4 linked regions of the Oryctolagus cuniculus genome follow. The protein of the gene in region 2 interacts with the protein of the main gene of each other region in a pairwise test. Links are inferred from orthologs where the notes say so. Each region holds a gene or a part of one and is shown on either strand. Other genes may lie near its edges. The genes, in order: HDAC6, ERBB4, DLG4 and CFL1.

Evidence for each region.
Region 1: the proteins of ERBB4 (region 2) and HDAC6 interact in a protein complementation assay, tested with the Homo sapiens proteins (2 studies listed by BioGRID and IntAct, with this or other methods). The link is inferred for Oryctolagus cuniculus from reciprocal best matches to the Homo sapiens genes ERBB4 and HDAC6.
Region 3: the proteins of ERBB4 (region 2) and DLG4 interact in binary tests that used the Homo sapiens proteins (3 or more experiments, as listed by UniProt). The link is inferred for Oryctolagus cuniculus from reciprocal best matches to the Homo sapiens genes ERBB4 and DLG4.
Region 4: the proteins of ERBB4 (region 2) and CFL1 interact in a protein complementation assay, tested with the Homo sapiens proteins (2 studies listed by BioGRID and IntAct, with this or other methods). The link is inferred for Oryctolagus cuniculus from reciprocal best matches to the Homo sapiens genes ERBB4 and CFL1.

Annotation. Positions count from the first base shown.
Region 1 is NC_091453.1:34,007,186-34,009,694, forward strand, and holds the end of HDAC6 (histone deacetylase 6), read left to right. Parts: coding exon 1-559; intron 560-642; coding exon 643-762; intron 763-891; coding exon 892-1,038; intron 1,039-1,129; coding exon 1,130-1,258; coding exon of another isoform or gene 1,259-1,282; exon of another isoform or gene 1,283-1,330; intron 1,331-1,508; coding exon 1,509-1,577; 3' UTR 1,578-1,942; downstream 1,943-2,509.
Region 2 is NC_091434.1:26,982,577-26,986,803, reverse strand, and holds the start of ERBB4 (receptor tyrosine-protein kinase erbB-4), read right to left. Parts: upstream 2,850-4,227; 5' UTR 2,165-2,849; coding exon 2,083-2,164; intron 2,076-2,082; exon of another isoform or gene 1-2,075. UniProt on the Homo sapiens protein: Tyrosine-protein kinase that plays an essential role as cell surface receptor for neuregulins and EGF family members and regulates development of the heart, the central nervous system and the mammary gland, gene transcription, cell proliferation, differentiation, migration and apoptosis.
Region 3 is NC_091448.1:51,825,388-51,829,437, reverse strand, and holds the start of DLG4 (disks large homolog 4), read left to right. Parts: upstream 1-1,250; 5' UTR 1,251-1,485; coding exon 1,486-1,504; intron 1,505-1,684; coding exon 1,685-1,783; intron 1,784-1,964; coding exon 1,965-2,005; intron 2,006-2,690; exon of another isoform or gene 2,691-3,091; coding exon of another isoform or gene 3,092-3,121; intron 3,122-4,050. Other genes in the region: ACADVL (very long-chain specific acyl-CoA dehydrogenase, mitochondrial), read right to left, coding at 185-260, 344-405. UniProt on the Homo sapiens protein: Postsynaptic scaffolding protein that plays a critical role in synaptogenesis and synaptic plasticity by providing a platform for the postsynaptic clustering of crucial synaptic proteins.
Region 4 is NC_091432.1:5,909,992-5,914,370, forward strand, and holds the start of CFL1 (cofilin-1), read left to right. Parts: upstream 1-1,504; 5' UTR 1,505-1,731; coding exon 1,732-1,734; intron 1,735-3,467; coding exon 3,468-3,775; intron 3,776-3,865; coding exon 3,866-3,942; intron 3,943-4,024; coding exon 4,025-4,137; 3' UTR 4,138-4,379.

The sequences.
Region 1 (2,509 bases), on a different chromosome or scaffold from region 2:
TAATCGTGGGCCAGCTGAGGGGATGACCACACCAGAAAAGAATGTTCTGGAAGCAGGCACGGGGAAGGCCACCTCAGCCCTATCTGCAGGAGAGTCCATTCCAGGCCATACTGAATCAGAGACAGCTGTGATGCTCCCTGAGGCCCATTCCTCACAGGCAGCCACAAGGTTAGCCACCCTGTACCACACCACCTCAGAGGTGGGCATGGGAGGAGCCATGATGGACCAGACCACCTGGGAAGCAGCCACAGGGGTAGCCACACCAGACCAGACCACCTCAGAGGAGTCTGTGGGCGGAACCTCACTGGACCAGACCACCTCAGAGGTTTCCATGGGGGAAGCCATGCTGGACAGTATCATTTCAGAGGAAGGAGACACGCTGAACCAGAACACCTCAGAGGAGGCTGTGAGGGCAGCCAAGCTGATCCAAACTCCTCTAGCCTCAAGCATAGATAACCAGACGCCCCCAACCTCACCTGTGCCAGGAGCCATATCCCAGATATCCCCTAGTCAGCTGACTAGGAGTCTCAGAACCTTGAAACTAAGCGATGAAGCTCAGGTAAGGCCCACAACACCCAGGTAGAGGGAAGAAGGGCCAAGAGTCTGGCCTCTTCGATACACCTTTTGCTTCTGTGTGTCCAGAAGACCTCAGAATCTCAGATTCCAGAAGAGGAGGGCCTACTAGCAGAGGCAGCTGGAGGTCGGGATGTGGATGATGTGACACTGATGCAGGGACCAGGGAACCTTGCTGACACTGACCAGGTGAGCTCAGGGAGAGGCTGGGTTGCAGCCTCCTCTTACCTATCCACATCTTCAGGTAGGAGATGTGATGCAGGAACATATAATGGGGGAATAGGACCCCCCCAGCTGACTCAGTTTCATCCACTCCAGGCCATGTTTTATGCTGTGACACCAATGTCCTGGTGTCCTCATTTGGTGGCAGTAAGCCCCAAACCTGCAACAGGCCTGAATGTGACTCAACCTTGTCAAGACTGTGGAACACTCGAGGAAAATTGGGTGTGTCTGTCTTGCTATGAGGTATGGAGCAGAGGAGGGGATTGGGGTGGAGGCTGGTCCAGGAGCAAACTTTGGTAGGTGCTGACCCCTGCCTGATACTCCCCAACCTCAGGTCTACTGCAGCCGTTTTGTCAATGCCCATATGATCCAACACCATGAAGCCTCTGGACACCCACTGGTCCTCAGCTACGTTGACCTGTCTGCCTGGTGTTACCTCTGCCAGGCCTATGTCCACCACCAGGTGGGCCCCGGGCAGACCCTCTAATGTGCAAACTCATGGCCCAAACATGTACATGCACTACTTATGTGATGGGTAAGGGGAGAGCACAGATCCCTTTGCACAATTGCCTCAGGATCCTTTTTTGTATTGTGGGGGCTGTGGGATAGCCCAGGAGACAGAGTGGTTGAAGACTGGAGTGGAGGCAAGCCTCCTGGCTGAGGCAGAGTGTTCTGCACTCTCTCTCACCTACCCTGTTCTTGCTACTCCCCAGGCTCTCCTAGATGTGAAGAACACGGTGCACCAGAACAAGTTTGGGGAGGACATGCCCCACCCACACTAAGTCCCAGAACGTGCTCCCTCTTCTCCACCTTCTGAGGCCCAAGACAGACCAGCCTTAGTTCATTCCAAGCTCTACCTTGGATGAGGGGGAGCCTCTCTCTCCATCTCGACTTAAATATCCTTTGCAACTCCTCAAGGGTGCTTATTTAAGTGTATATACTTTTAAAAGGACTGTGATGATCAGTTGTGGATTTTCCCCTGCCCACAACCTGCTCAAGGGACAACACTACCCCACCCCACAAGGAAAAGAGGAGCTCAATGTTTCCAAAGGGGTGCTGCAATCACAAAGGCTAACACTGGAGGAAGGGGGGAGCAACTGGCAGGTGTGGAGGGGTTGTGTATGTAATAAAGTGTGAAGTTACAAAACATGGAGAAAGCGTTTTAACTTTGAGTAGGTAGAGAATCCTGCATCCCAGGCCAATGAGAAATGAAGGAATATGGAATGGGTCTTCATCAGTTCAACCTTTCCCTCACCACCCATTGCACAAAAAAACCAACTCATTGAAAATATACCAGGCAGCTCCAGTAGAGTAAGTGGTAGAAACCATTAGAAAATGAATATCTGATTTAGAAATACAAGGATACTCCAAAAAGTTCATGGAAAATAGAATTTATAGGTATGTTTAGTTTGGTGCAAAAATTTGAAATCCATGCATACAAGGGGTCTTCACAAAGTTCATACAGGGGCTGACGCTGTAGTGCAGCAGCTTAAGCCTCTGCCTGCAGCACTGGCATCCCAAATGGGTGCTGGTTCAAGTCCCAGATGCTCCTTTTTCTGACCCAGCTCCCCGCTAGTGTGCCTGGGAAAGCAGTGGAGGATGGCCCAAGTCCCTGGGCCTCTGTACCTACATGGGAGACCTAGAAGAAGTTCCTGGCTCTTGGCTTCAGCCTGGCCCAGCCCCAGACGTTATGGCCATTTGGGGAGTGAACCAG
Region 2 (4,227 bases):
ACTTTGTGTTCTGAACAAGTGAGGCTCTCCTTTGTGCCCCCAGAATTTCAAGTACAGAGTCACACTCGGAACAACAATGGCACGCTAATCCTCGCGCTCTAAATGGGCTCACTTGTGGGTCTGACAATTCGCCCAGGGAAAGGAGAAGAGACGAGCGAGGGCAAGAGCTGGTGTCGCCTGAGACGAGGAAGAGGACAGCTGCAGAACTAATTTGGATTACATTCCTTGCAGAAATTCTGAAAAGGGCTTTTCGGAATAGCTCAGCCCCGCGCCGCACAGTTAATACCAAATTGCTGCGTACCGGGAGCGGGTCCTCCAGCGGCAGAGGCTGAACCAGACAGCCCCCAGTAGGTCGCCTCCTAGAAATTCCTCCCGCCTCAGCCTGCCTGTCGGTCGCAACTGTTTTTGAATGGGTCAATGTGCATAATCAACCCATTGAGGGAAAATATGAAGGGACTGGGAGTGGGGAGGCAGATAAAAAGGGATGTATCTAAGAGGCCGCTTGGAATCTCGAGACGGTGCAATTCCCGAGGTGGCTGGAGCGCGGGACCTGGTATGCATGAAGAATTTCGGAGTAATTGGGAGGGTGCAAACGGCGCACATGTGCCAGGCGAAGGTCATTCTGAAAGGCTCCATGATTGGAACTTGTTATTTACTAGGCAGCGAGGGGGAGGCGGGGGCGGAGCGGGGAAACTACCGCGAGCCGCCGTTCTCTTGGCGAGGTCAGGAGGACACCCTCCGGAGGCCTAAAGCTCGCCCTATCGCCACTCCCAGGGGCTTTATCTCCTCAAGCTGCCTCCCACGCTCTCGCCAGCAACCCCAAACGGCTCCGGAAATCTCCCCCGGGCTCTCCAGAGGCCACCACCACCACCACCCCCCACCTTGGCCGCGTCAGACACCGGTTCTCCTCATTCCTTTCCAGTCCCCAGGTCATCCCCAGGAAACTCCCAGTGTTGGAAACTTAGAGCTCCCCTGTCCCTGCAGGTGCTGCTGTCATTAGCCCTGCCCGCTGCGGCGCGCCAGCCCCCTGCGCGGCCCCTCGGGGTCAATTAGCCCTTTGCCTGTCCAGGTACCTGGGGCTCAAGCTCTCCAGCAAACACTGACCGCGCCCGGGAGCGCAGCCGCCGCGCCCGCCTCGGGTTAAATCAATTCGCGCGACCGGCAGGCTCCGCAGCCCGGCCGGGCAGTAAACAGAGAAGTTGGAGGGAGTCCGGCCAATAGCAAGTTGAACTACAGGAAGAACTCCTCCCGGAGCCAAACACAGCCACCGACGGGAAGGCCGGGCTCCTAGCTCAACGTGCCAAGCCTCTTTTAATTTTTTTTAATAGGACAGGCATGCAAGCAAGCACCCCTCGAGTCAATGGGGCGAGGGACTCCGGGACGCCAGCCGAGGAGGCTGGCAGTTCCAGGCCCGGGCCGAGGCACGCCCGCCCGCCGCGCTCTCCAGGCTGCCCAGGCTGGGCTCCAGTCGTGCCTGACCCCGCAAACCTCGGGCGACTGGGGGCGCAGCGGCCACAGGGAGCACACACAGGTGCACAGCCTGGTTCTCGGAGCTGCACGCTCCACAGCCCGCGGGCTGCGGAGCAGCCCGGCCAGCACCACCCCGGGACCCCAGCCCTGCCCAGGCTCCTGCGGTGCGCCTTCCTTTGCGGCTTGTTGCCTTGAGGGCACAGAGTCCGAGACCGGAGGGCTCCTCTGGCTGAGGGTCTGGGTCTCCCGCGTCCGAACAACAGGCGCGACTAGCAGCGAGCCCGCTTAGGCACAGGGAAAACACGCGAGGGAGAAAGAAGGTGGCTTAAGGAGAGAGGGGGGGAAAGGGTCATGGGGTGCAGAGTAATTTTTCACGATAAATAAAACACTTGCGCGCCCGCGCACATACACACAGGGTAAGTTTAGGATGGAGAAAGAAAGGGGTGACCGGGAGCCGGTGCCAGAGGCCCCAGTCCAGGGGTCCCTCCGCGCCTGGGGGCGAGCCGGGGTCGGGGTGGGCAAAGACGGCAGGGGAGCCACCGAGGCAGCCTAGCCGGCGGCGGCGGCGGCGACAGGTTCAACTGCTGGAGCGCGAGAAGGAGCGCGACCCACCTGACTGAGAAGCGCCGGGCTGGACGGTCCCCGCCGCCACGAGAAGGCTCACCCAGACCCACAGTCCTGTCGCCAGCTTCATTTTTTGGAAGTCTCAGGTCCCGTGCTGACAATTACATGTCCAACTGGCATAGCCCCTTTCGGGCACGCGGAGGAGATTCCCCCAGTCCGACGCGAGTGGGGGCGCGAGGGGGCGGGCGCGGCGCGCGCGGTCCAGCGGCTCCCCAGCGCGGGCGACCGAGTCCGCGCCCGCGGGCCCAGGGCCGGGCCGGCCGTAGAGGAGTGGGCGTCGCGGAGCGCGCCGGGGAGCGCTCCCGGGTGGCGCGGGCTGCTCCGGGCGGACTGTGCAGCTATTTTCCCCGTGGGAGCTTCGCGCTCTCGCTCTCTCTTCACTTTCTCTCTCTCACTGGTTGGTCAACAATAAAAAGGAAGGGGAGAGAAAGGTTTCCAAAAAAAGTTGATTGCAAAGAGGCGGTAGGTTTCCGGCCTCTCCCCCCCCAAGCCGGGCTATGTTCGGCTCCCTTTTCAGTTTCCTTGCACCTCCAGTCCAAATCGGGAGGCGGGGGGAGCTGCTGGCGTCTCCCCCGATCCTGTCCTTGTTCCTGTCAGCTTTCCTCACACTTGTCCAGCGGCTGCGGTAATTAAAGCTCCGAGCGTCATTTCCAACGCTCCGCGGTCTCCAGCTGCAGCCCCACAGAGAAATTAATAAGACTCCGAAATAAATAAAAAAAAGGTGGGGGGCGGTGGGGACGGTGGGGGGGGGGGGATAAAACAACCCTCCACGCAACCAGGCAAGCTCGGCTCAGCGGCACAAACCCCGCCCCTGCTCTGACCCAGCTGGCCACGCCCTTCCCCCCCCCCAAAAAGGGAGATCTTATTGGCTCAGCCACTCCCCAAAATCCTCAGCCTCCAGAGTTGGGAAAACACCTGTCAGAGAGAGGCAACGGGGAGGTGGGGGCGGGGAGGCTGGATTTAAAGGGCTCACCCGAATCCGTGGACCGAAACACTCTCCTTCCCGCCCCGGCGGAGGACGGGACAGCTGGCCCGCGAGGGGACAGACCACCGTTAGGATGCTTAGAGGACAGATTTTTTTTTTTTCTCCATTGCCCCACAGTGCTCATCCACAGACAGAACTTTCTTCAGTAAAAGGATGTGCAAACCCTCCCCCCCCCCCAAAAAAAAAAAAAACAGTCATGCTCCACGCTTAGAAGGTAATTTACAGGAGAGTTCGGTAACTGGTAGCCCCAGCACACCAGGTCGTCCTCCGCGGTAATCATCCCCCTTCCCCAGTTACACCCGGCCAAACGGGAAGACTCTGAACCAAACTAAAAATCTGCATTGGCAGAACCACATCATTGACTTTCAGATTCTCATGGGCCATGCTGCCTTTTCTCTGGACCACTTGTCTGGGGTTCATTCTCTCTAGGCACATTCTAGCCCAACTGCTAATTTGCTTTTAAAGGGCTCAAAAACGTTCCAAGCCTGAACTGTTGGGTCTGAAAGAATTTAAGGCGGCCATGTCAGAATGTAATGGACCTCAAATGATGAGGTTTATTCTAGTAGTAGACGCAGCTGGAGACACTTCCGTGTTCTCTGCCAGTTAGGCTCCCTAATCCCCGGGTCACTGGTAGCTTTGGGATTCTCTGAGAGGTTTCTGAATCTAATTACTATATCCTGGAATTGGAGACTCTCCACGTACATACCCCATACCTCTTACAGCTCTGAAACTACCCAGGACAGGAGCCAAAATCTCCTGGGGTTAGTAGGTTATGGGTTTGCTATTTGCGCAGGCATACTACGTACTAATCATTTTCCTTTTTTGGTTTCTCTACAAATAGGAAATATATAAATAAAAAGTACCTGGGAACTTAAAAATCAAACCACCCTGTATCTTCTGTCATCAACTGGGACCTTCCCTTTTCTCTCCCACATCTTTTATCTCTAGCCCTGTCCCTTAAGAATCTCCCTGGAACAGATAGGAAGAGCAGAAGCCTGGAGTTTCTCTTTCCTACGCACCCCCCCCCCCAAAAAAAAGCTTCTCTCTCTTTCCTAGGCCCAGCAAAGAGACAAAACAAGCTGAGCATGCTTTTTTACCCAAAAGCAGCCTAGGGCAGGGAGAAACCAAGCCTAGAGCAGATGATGGCG
Region 3 (4,050 bases), on a different chromosome or scaffold from region 2:
AGAGCTGGGTGTGAGGCTTGAGCTGATCCCGTGCCTTTCCCCTAGTTTCATCCCAGGGCATCCCGGTTTGCCCTTTCCCCTACTTTCCCAGCCAAAGCTGTCAGCAGGTGACTGGCACGGGGAGGGAGACCCCTGCCGGCCGCGGGGAGGCGGGAGCCCCTCTCCCGAGGCCGCCGTCACTTACCTGAGCGGCCTCACTGGCATAGAGTCGCTGGGCAGGACCAGGCCGGGGCTGCCCCAGGAACGCACTGGGCCGCGAGCTGTGAAGAGCAGGGGTTCGGTTCTGGCTCGGTCGGTCAGGTCCGCCGGCTCCCTCTCCCCTCCCAACCCCCGTCATACACACCTTCCGCTCGCCAACCTCAGCAGCTGCCGCCCCACGCTAGGGGCCATGCGAGCCGTTCGCATCTCGGAGCCGCTCCAGCTGCCGCTGCCTCGGACGCTGACCTCGCACTCGCGTCCTGACTGTCCAAGTCTGGTGTCCCCAGCCCTGACTCATCGTCCACAATGCACCGGGCGGTGGTGGGCGGGGCTTCCGGGCGCTGGGCATGCTGGGAACTGTAGTTCCAGAGCGCCCCATCCACTGCAGTCCAGCTGACCTAGCGCGATCTCCAAGCGTCCCTTGTCTCCCCGAAACTCCTTTAAACGCCTGTCCGAATTAGAGTCTAGTCCTCTAGGGGTGAAGGGATAGGAGGGGACGGGAGAGGGAGGAACTTAGGCGGCTGCAGCTAGAGGGGCAGAGGTTAACTGAAGGGAGGACCTCCCCAACCCCATGGAGTTAGGAGAAGGGAGAAGAGACAGTCATGGAAAGGCGACTCTTGGGGTCCCTCCCGAATCTGCCTCCACCTACACAAAAGGGAGGGGAACTGTGCGCTGGGGGACTCCAACTGGGCTGTGAGCCTCTCACAGCGTGTTCTCCGCCCTAGGAGGTGCCACTCAGAACCCCTGAAATTTCACAGGAGCAGCGACCCCGGTTCACCGGCTCTTGGAAAGCCTCTGAGACCTCCCTGAACCTCCTGTCTGCCCTCTGTTATTCCAGAGTCCCTGTGGTCACCTAGACCTCAGGGCAAATGGGTTCTGCCCGGTCCCGAGAAGAACTGAATGGAAACGCTCGTTTCTTCCCACTCCCAGTCCCTTTCCTCGGCTTCTCTAGCCCTGGCCAAGAAGTCCCAAGCAATGTACACCCTTCTTTCTGCGCTTCCCCCCCGGGGGGGGTCAGGCCTGGGAGGGAGCCAGCTGGGCCCAGCTTCCTTTCTCCTTGGGGGAGACTGTCTTCTCGGCCCCTTGTGAAAGTGTGGCTGAGTTCTGCAGGCCTTGGGGGCAGGGGCCCGGGTGTGTGAAGCAAGGTGGTGGTGGTGGTGCCGCCCTGAGGGACAGCAGGCCAGTCCAGAGATGCCGCCCTCACCTAACAGCGAGAATTGAGTGGGGAGAGGGCAGCTCAACTCCAATCCCAGCGGATTAGGGGGATTAAAGCCAGAGAAGGGAGAGATGTCCCAGAGACCAAGAGGTGAAAAACAGGGGTCCTTTTGGAGGGGAGGCCTGGGAGTGAAGTGGGGGAGACTGGGACTCAGAATTCTTTCTCCCCGGTTCTTTCCACGGAGTCGCGGTGCTGGGAAGCCGAGGTGGCTGAGCGTGTCAGTCTGTGTCTCTTCCCCATCCCAACCTCCCCTCACTTGCCTTCCACCAGCTCCCAGGTCAGCCCTCTGGCTCCTGGCGCCCCCACTCTTGCGGTGGGCACCCCCGCTTCTGGCCGTGCTACACAGCGACCTCTTCCAGGCCCTGCTGGGTGAGTAGCCCCAGTTTTGTGAGGGACAGCAGGGACGAGGGCCTGGGCCTGTGAGGGCCGTCAGTGCTGGCTGGAAGCCTGGAGCCCCATGCAGGGTCCTCCCCACAGTGGCTCCGGGGTCAGAACGGGCTAGCCTGGGCTGGAGGCCAGGGAGGGTGACTCGGTTCTGTTCCTGTGACAGACATCCTGGACTATTACGAGGCTTCCATCTCAGAGAGTCAGGTAAGGAGGCAGTGGGTGCTGGCTTCTGAAGGGGTAGGGCGGTGCTGAGCAAGGTCTGGCTAATATCAGATGGGAAAATGGAGACTTGGGGGCCCTGGCCACACATCCTGGGTCGGTGGCCCAGAGACGTGAGGGCTCTGAGAATGCACTCTCTCTGGGAGGCCCTGTAGCCCCCTCTCCTTTCTTCCCCCTTGTCTTTGCATGCCCCAGTTTAGCCACTGAAGTGTCCACGACATAATTACTTTCCAGGCTTCCCGCTGTGACTCCTGAGGGAGACCTAGGCCCCCAGGGATTCCCTCCTGCCAGCCCCTCCCTCACACCAAGCCCCCTACCATGGCCTCCCTCCAGTATTTAAGCAACCAGGGGTGCTCCTAGCCCATCTCCCGGTGCTCGCTCCTCTGAGAACTGAAGTCTGCCCTCCTGGGCTTTGCTGTCCTCGCTGGTGGCTGGCCGGGTCTCCATGTTTGCTTCAGGGCCTCTCGGCGTCTGCTTCTATCTCCTTTCCCATTATCCGGGTTCCTGCCGGCACCGAAGGAGTTAACTCTGCCAAGGCACCCCCCCATTCTGGCTCCTAGCTCCCTCCCTCCCTCCCCCTGCTTCCTCTCTCCTCCTCTCTCCCCTTCCCTCCTCGGCTCCACGGCTCCCTCGGCCGCTGCCGTCTCCAGCCCCCCCACCCCACTCCCCCGCCACGGCCCCTAGCCCCTGGCCGCTTGGCAAGACCCCCCCCTACCCCGGGGCTCCCCGAAATCCGGTTCCCCTCCCCCACCCCAGCTCATGCCCCAGCCCCCGAACTCCGGGGCTGCCAGCCCCCGGTGCCCCCGCCCCTCCTGAGAATCGGGGTGTTCTCCCCAAACCCCCTCCCCTCCATTGGGGAGCCCGTTTTCGGGCCCCCTTCCCCTCCCTCCCACGCTCCCCTCCCCTTCCCTTCTCCAACCCCCTCCTTCCCCTCTCACCCCTCCCCCCATCCTGGCCCCCCCTGCAAAAGTGGGGTGCGGAGGGGGGAGGGGTGAGAACCCACGGAGGGAAGGAAGGAAACTCTGATGAAGTCAGAGCCCCTTACCCGCCACCGCGGCCAGGCCCCCCAACATGGACTGTCTCTGTATAGTGACAACCAAGGTAAGCATGATGGGGGCTGTAAGTAGGGGGGAGGGCATTAGTTGGTGGGGAGGGGTCCAGCAGGCCTTATTTGGGGCTGGAGGCCCTGGAGTGAGAGCATCAGAAGTAAGATGCATTTGGGGTGGGTAATTTAGTTTTGGGGTTCACATCTGAGAAAACGCTGAATTTGGCCACAGGTGCCCCCTGGAGTGATCCCTCTGTACCTGTAGAGAAATGGAAAATTCGGGGTGTTTCGTGGTTTGGGGGGCTGGTGGGTTTGGGGGTTCACCAGTGATGTTTGAGGGAGACTTGTTTAGAGGGAAGCCTTGGCTCACATGGGAGTTCTGCTGTGGATGGGGGAAGGTGGGCTATGTGTGTGTGTCTGGGGGGGTCTTCCCTCCCTGGGGAAAAGCTGGTTTCCAGGGGGCTTTTCCAGGTTCAGGGGGCTCCTGGCATGAGGGTAAAGGTGATTGGTTCTGTGTGCCTGACTGGTCTGGGGGTGTCAGCTGGCAGAGAAGGGGTGGGCCTGCAGGCTACAGAGCCAGCGTCTTGTGGTAGATACGTTTGGGGGTGCTGTCTCAGTTTGAGGGAACTGTGATCCGGGGTTTGGTCGCAGGGACTGGAGGCAGTTGGGACTTGTCAGAGGGCTGGGGCCTGGCACTGGGTCCCCTGAGGGAAGGGCCAGGTGAGGTTGGGGCTGGGGGTATTCCCGTGGGAAGTAGAAGCTTGCAGTAGCTGAGCTTGCCAGCCCCTGAGGAGCAGGAGGAGAGGTTTGCGGAGAGAGGGGATTTGAGGAGGGGGACCAGGTGGATGGCGTGGAATTTGAGGGTGTCCCAGGCAGGTGCCCAAGAGCCTGTTTTCTCCCACACTGCAATCAGACCTGATCAGGAGTGAGGGAGAGGAGCAGATGGCGGGGACTGTCCGTTCCCCCCGGATCAAGGTGGGGGAGG
Region 4 (4,379 bases), on a different chromosome or scaffold from region 2:
GAGACTGGGGGCGGGGGACAGCGGAGCGCAGGTGCCTCTGAGGTGCCTCTGTGGATAGGGGGCACGAGAAGAGTCCAGGAAGGGCGGGGGACAGCGGAGCGCAGGTGCCTCTGTGGGTACGGGCTCGGGGAGAGTCCAGGAGACTGGGGGCGCGGGACAGAGAAGCGCAGGTGCATCTGTGGATAGGGGCTCGAGGAGAGTCCAGGAGACTGGGGGCGGGGGATAGCGGAGCGCAGGTGCATCTGTGGGAGGGGGCGTGAGGAGACTCCAGGAGACTGGGGTCGGGGGACAGCGGAGCGCAGGTGCCTCTGTGGGTAGGGGCTCTGGGGTGTGCGGCGGCGGAAGCCCTAGCTGGGCGGACTGGGGTGAGAGCAGAGGCGCTGTGTGCGTCCCGGCAGGTGTGGCGGCCAGAGGGGCGCACGTGAGCCGCTCCGGGGCTGAGGCTCCCCGGCTCGGGGGCTCGGTGGAGGCGCGGGACCCCCTTCCCCCAGCGAGGTTTGGAGATGGAACTCGGTGGGCCCAGGTTGAGCGACACGTAAGCAGGTGCTTCGGCGCAGGGAGGGGGAGCGGGCCCTGCTGGCGTCCGCAGCAGTCCCAGGTCGAGAGCGGGCGAACCCCAAGCAGGGGCGTGCGGGGCCCGGGACCCCCCGAGAGGGCCGGAGGGGCGGGCGCCGGGGCCCAGCCCGCCTCCCTCCCAGCACGGCCTTATAAGGAGCCCGAAGCCGGCGCCGCGGCCGGCTCCGCCCCCGCCAGGCTCATGTCCTAATAAGGACATCTAGGGCATCCCGCGGCCGGGGGCGGCCGCGAGCGCGTCTCCAGGGCGACTGCGGCCCCCTCCCCCTCCCGGGAAGCTGCGGGGCGCCCGGGGGTGGCGGGGCGCGGCCGCGGCCTGGTCCCCGGAGCTCCGCGGCAGGCGCCCCTGCTCGGGGGCCGCGGTGGGGGCCCGGGCCGAGGACATCCTCCGGAGCTCTGCTCTCCCGCTCGCTCGCTCGCTCGCGCCTCGGCTCTGCCCGCGTTAAACCGTGCACCTGTGCACCCGAGAGCCAGGCCCAAGTCTGGCCTCACACGCGTTTCCTCTCCTCACCGCCTGACAGCCCTGAATTTGCAAAACACCTGAAAATAAATGAATAAACCACACAGAGTCCTCGCGGCTTCCCCTGTGTTTTCTATTCTTTTTGCCGTGGGAGCCGCATCCGCCTTTTTCTCTGGGGACGAGCGCAGCTTTGCCGATTCTCCCGGTGTAGGGCCGGGTCCCAGCCCAGCGAACAGCCGCTTCCTGTCGGGAAAGCAACGCCCCCCGCCACCCTCGGCCGCCGCAGACCCGAGGTCTCCAGACACCCGTCCCGCGCCGGGATCTGGAGCCTCTGAGGGATCCTTTTCGGGTCACTTCGCCAGCGCGCCCGCCTTTCCTGGGACGCTCGGCCAATGGGCGCGCGCTGCGCGCGGAGGCCCCGCCCCTCGCGGCCCCGGCCTACACCTCCCGGCGTGCACCGCGGGGCCGGCCGAGGGAGCCGGCGGGCGACTCGGCGCGCCCGCCGGCCGCGCGGACTCCATTTCCCGTCGGCCCCGCGAGGGAGCGCCGGAAGCCCGCCCCGCCCCTCATTGTGCGGCTCCTACTAAACGGAAGGGGCCGGGAGAGGCCGCGTTCAGTCGGGTCCAGGCAGCAGCTGCGGCGGCTCTCGTCTCCTCCGCCTTCTGCCCCCTTGCCATCTTCCTCTCGCTTCCGGAAACATGGTGAGCGGCAGGCCGCGGCGGCCGAGGGGAGGCGGCCGAGGGCGACGGCGGAGCGGGAGCTGCAGCCCGGCCCCGAGCGCCCCGGGCGGGATGAGGGGGTCTCGCCCCGGGAGGCGGGCGGCGCCGGGACGCGCGTGCGCGCTCGTGGGCGCCGCGAAGGGCCGGCTCGGACGTCGCTCGCGCGCCCCCTGGCCTCCCCTCCCCCACCGCGCTGCTGCGCCCGCGCGGGCCGCGGCCGTGGGGGAGGGGGCGCGGGCGCGCGCCCCTCGCGGAGCCGCCGGCGTCGCGCGCCGTCTCGCGGGGGCGCGCGCCCCTCCGGAGCACGCGGCGCCCGAGCCCGGCCCCGGGGGCGGCGAGGCAGCAGGCGCGCGCGCCCCACCCCACCCTGGCGCGGTCCCGGCCCCGCGCCCCTCCCGCGGCGAGAGCAGGTGGCTGGGGCTGCGGGCCTGCGGCGCGCGGCTCGGCGCGGGGTCCCGCCGGGGCGCGAGCTGGAGCGGCGCTGCCGGCCGGCGCGTGCGCACACGCGCGGTCGCGGCCGCCGGGGGTCGCGGCAGCCCCCCTGGGCTACCGGGGCTTCGGCTCTCCCGGCTGGGCCCGGAAGAGGGAGCCGAGTTTAGGGAAGTGATCCAGGCAGGCGCCGCCTGGAAACCACCCCGCATCCTGTGTCCGGCCCGACGGCCGCGGGGACCGAGGTCCCCTGGGCAGGCGGCGGACAGGCCGGGGCGGCCCTGGGCGGCAGGCCAGCGGCCCTGCTGGCGGTTCCGGGGAACGGAGGGCCCTGGAGGCGCCGCTGCCCCTCGGATTCGAGGTTTTCTTGGGCAGAGGGCCGGGGCTCTCGGTGTCCTCTCCCCGCCCACTCCGGAAGCGGCTGGGTCACGTGGCCAGCTTCCTCTGCAGTTGGGGGGTGCAGATTTCCCCATCGTGGACAGTCGCTCCCCCTCCTGGCCAGGGCGCCCCGGGCCTGATGCAGAGCTCTCGGGGGCCTGGGGCGCCGCAGTTGGCTTGTTAAGTTTTTTTTTTTAATATTTGTTTATCTGAAAGGCAGGGAGGTCTTCCATCCGCTGGTTCCCTCCCCAAACGGCCGCCACAGCCGGGTGTAGGCCAGGCTGGAGCCGGGAGCCCGACACGCCGTCCTGGGGTCCTGCGCAGGTGGCAGGGGCCCACGCACTTGGGCCGTCCTCTGCCCCTGCGGGCGTAGGGAGGAAGCTGGCTGGGCAGCGAGCGCTCCCGTGTGGGGTGCCGCCACTGCACTCCTTCGATTCGTTCCCGTGGCCTCTGGGGCCCTTGGCCACCCGCAGAGGCTGGGGGCTGTGGTTCCTGCCTTGGTTGGGAGAGACCCCAGTCGGGAAGCAGGTGCCTGCATTCTGTCTGACCCACTTGCTGGAACGGCAGGGCCTCCGTGGGCGCTCCTGCCGACGTCCTGGGGGCCTGGTCGCCTCCTGAAGAGGAGGCGGGGGCTGAAGTGTTTGGGCCCCCTCTCAGCTCTGGCGGGCTCGGTGGGCAGCTCTGTTCAGGGCCGAGACGGTGCCGGGAGCAGGACTGGGCGGCCCGGAGCCCCTCTCTGGACCCGCACCTCGGCAGAGGCTCTGCTCCCACGGGTCCTCACCGTCGGGGCCGTGGAAAGCAGGAAGGGCGCTGGGCTGTCCAGGCCGAGTGACCGCCCGGGGCGTGGGCTGGGAGGGCCCCGGGCGGCGTTCCGGCCTCTCACGCAGTCGCCCCCCGCCCGTTCGCAGGCCTCCGGCGTGGCTGTCTCTGACGGCGTCATCAAGGTGTTCAACGACATGAAGGTGCGCAAGTCGTCGACGCCCGAGGAGGTGAAGAAGCGCAAGAAGGCGGTGCTGTTCTGCCTGAGCGAGGACAAGAAGAACATCGTGCTGGAGGAGGGCAAGGAGATCCTGGTGGGCGACGTGGGCCAGACCGTGGAGGACCCCTACGCCACCTTCGTGCAGATGCTGCCCGACAAGGACTGCCGCTACGCCCTCTACGACGCCACCTACGAGACCAAGGAGAGCAAGAAGGAGGACCTGGTGTTCATCTTCTGGTGAGCGGGGCTGCGGGAGGGCGGCGCCGCGGGAGCCGGGAGCCGGGAGGGGCGGTGCGGGCCGCGAGTTCCTGCCTCGTGTCTCTCCAGGGCCCCCGAGTGTGCGCCCCTCAAGAGCAAAATGATCTACGCCAGCTCCAAGGACGCCATCAAGAAGAAGCTGACAGGTGAGGGCCGGGCCTGGGCTGCCGGGAGCCGGGAGCCGGGAGCCGGCCCCTGCCTCCGCTCACAGATGCCCCCTCCCCACAGGAATCAAGCATGAATTGCAAGCCAACTGCTACGAGGAGGTGAAGGACCGCTGCACCCTGGCGGAGAAGCTGGGGGGCAGCGCCGTCATCTCCCTGGAGGGCAAGCCCTTGTGAGCCCCCAGCCCCCGCCCGGCGCATCTGACAGCCCCAGACCTGCCCTTGGGGGTTGCAGGCTGCCCCCTCCCTGCCAGGCCGGAGGGGCTGGGGGGATTCCAGCAGGGGGAGGGCAATTCCTTCGCCCCAGTTGCCAAACAGCCCCCCTCCCCCTGGACCCTCCTCCCCCTCCCATCCCTGACGGTTCTGGCCGCCCCAAACTGCTTTTGATTTTCTGATTCCTCTTGGGTTGAAACAGACCA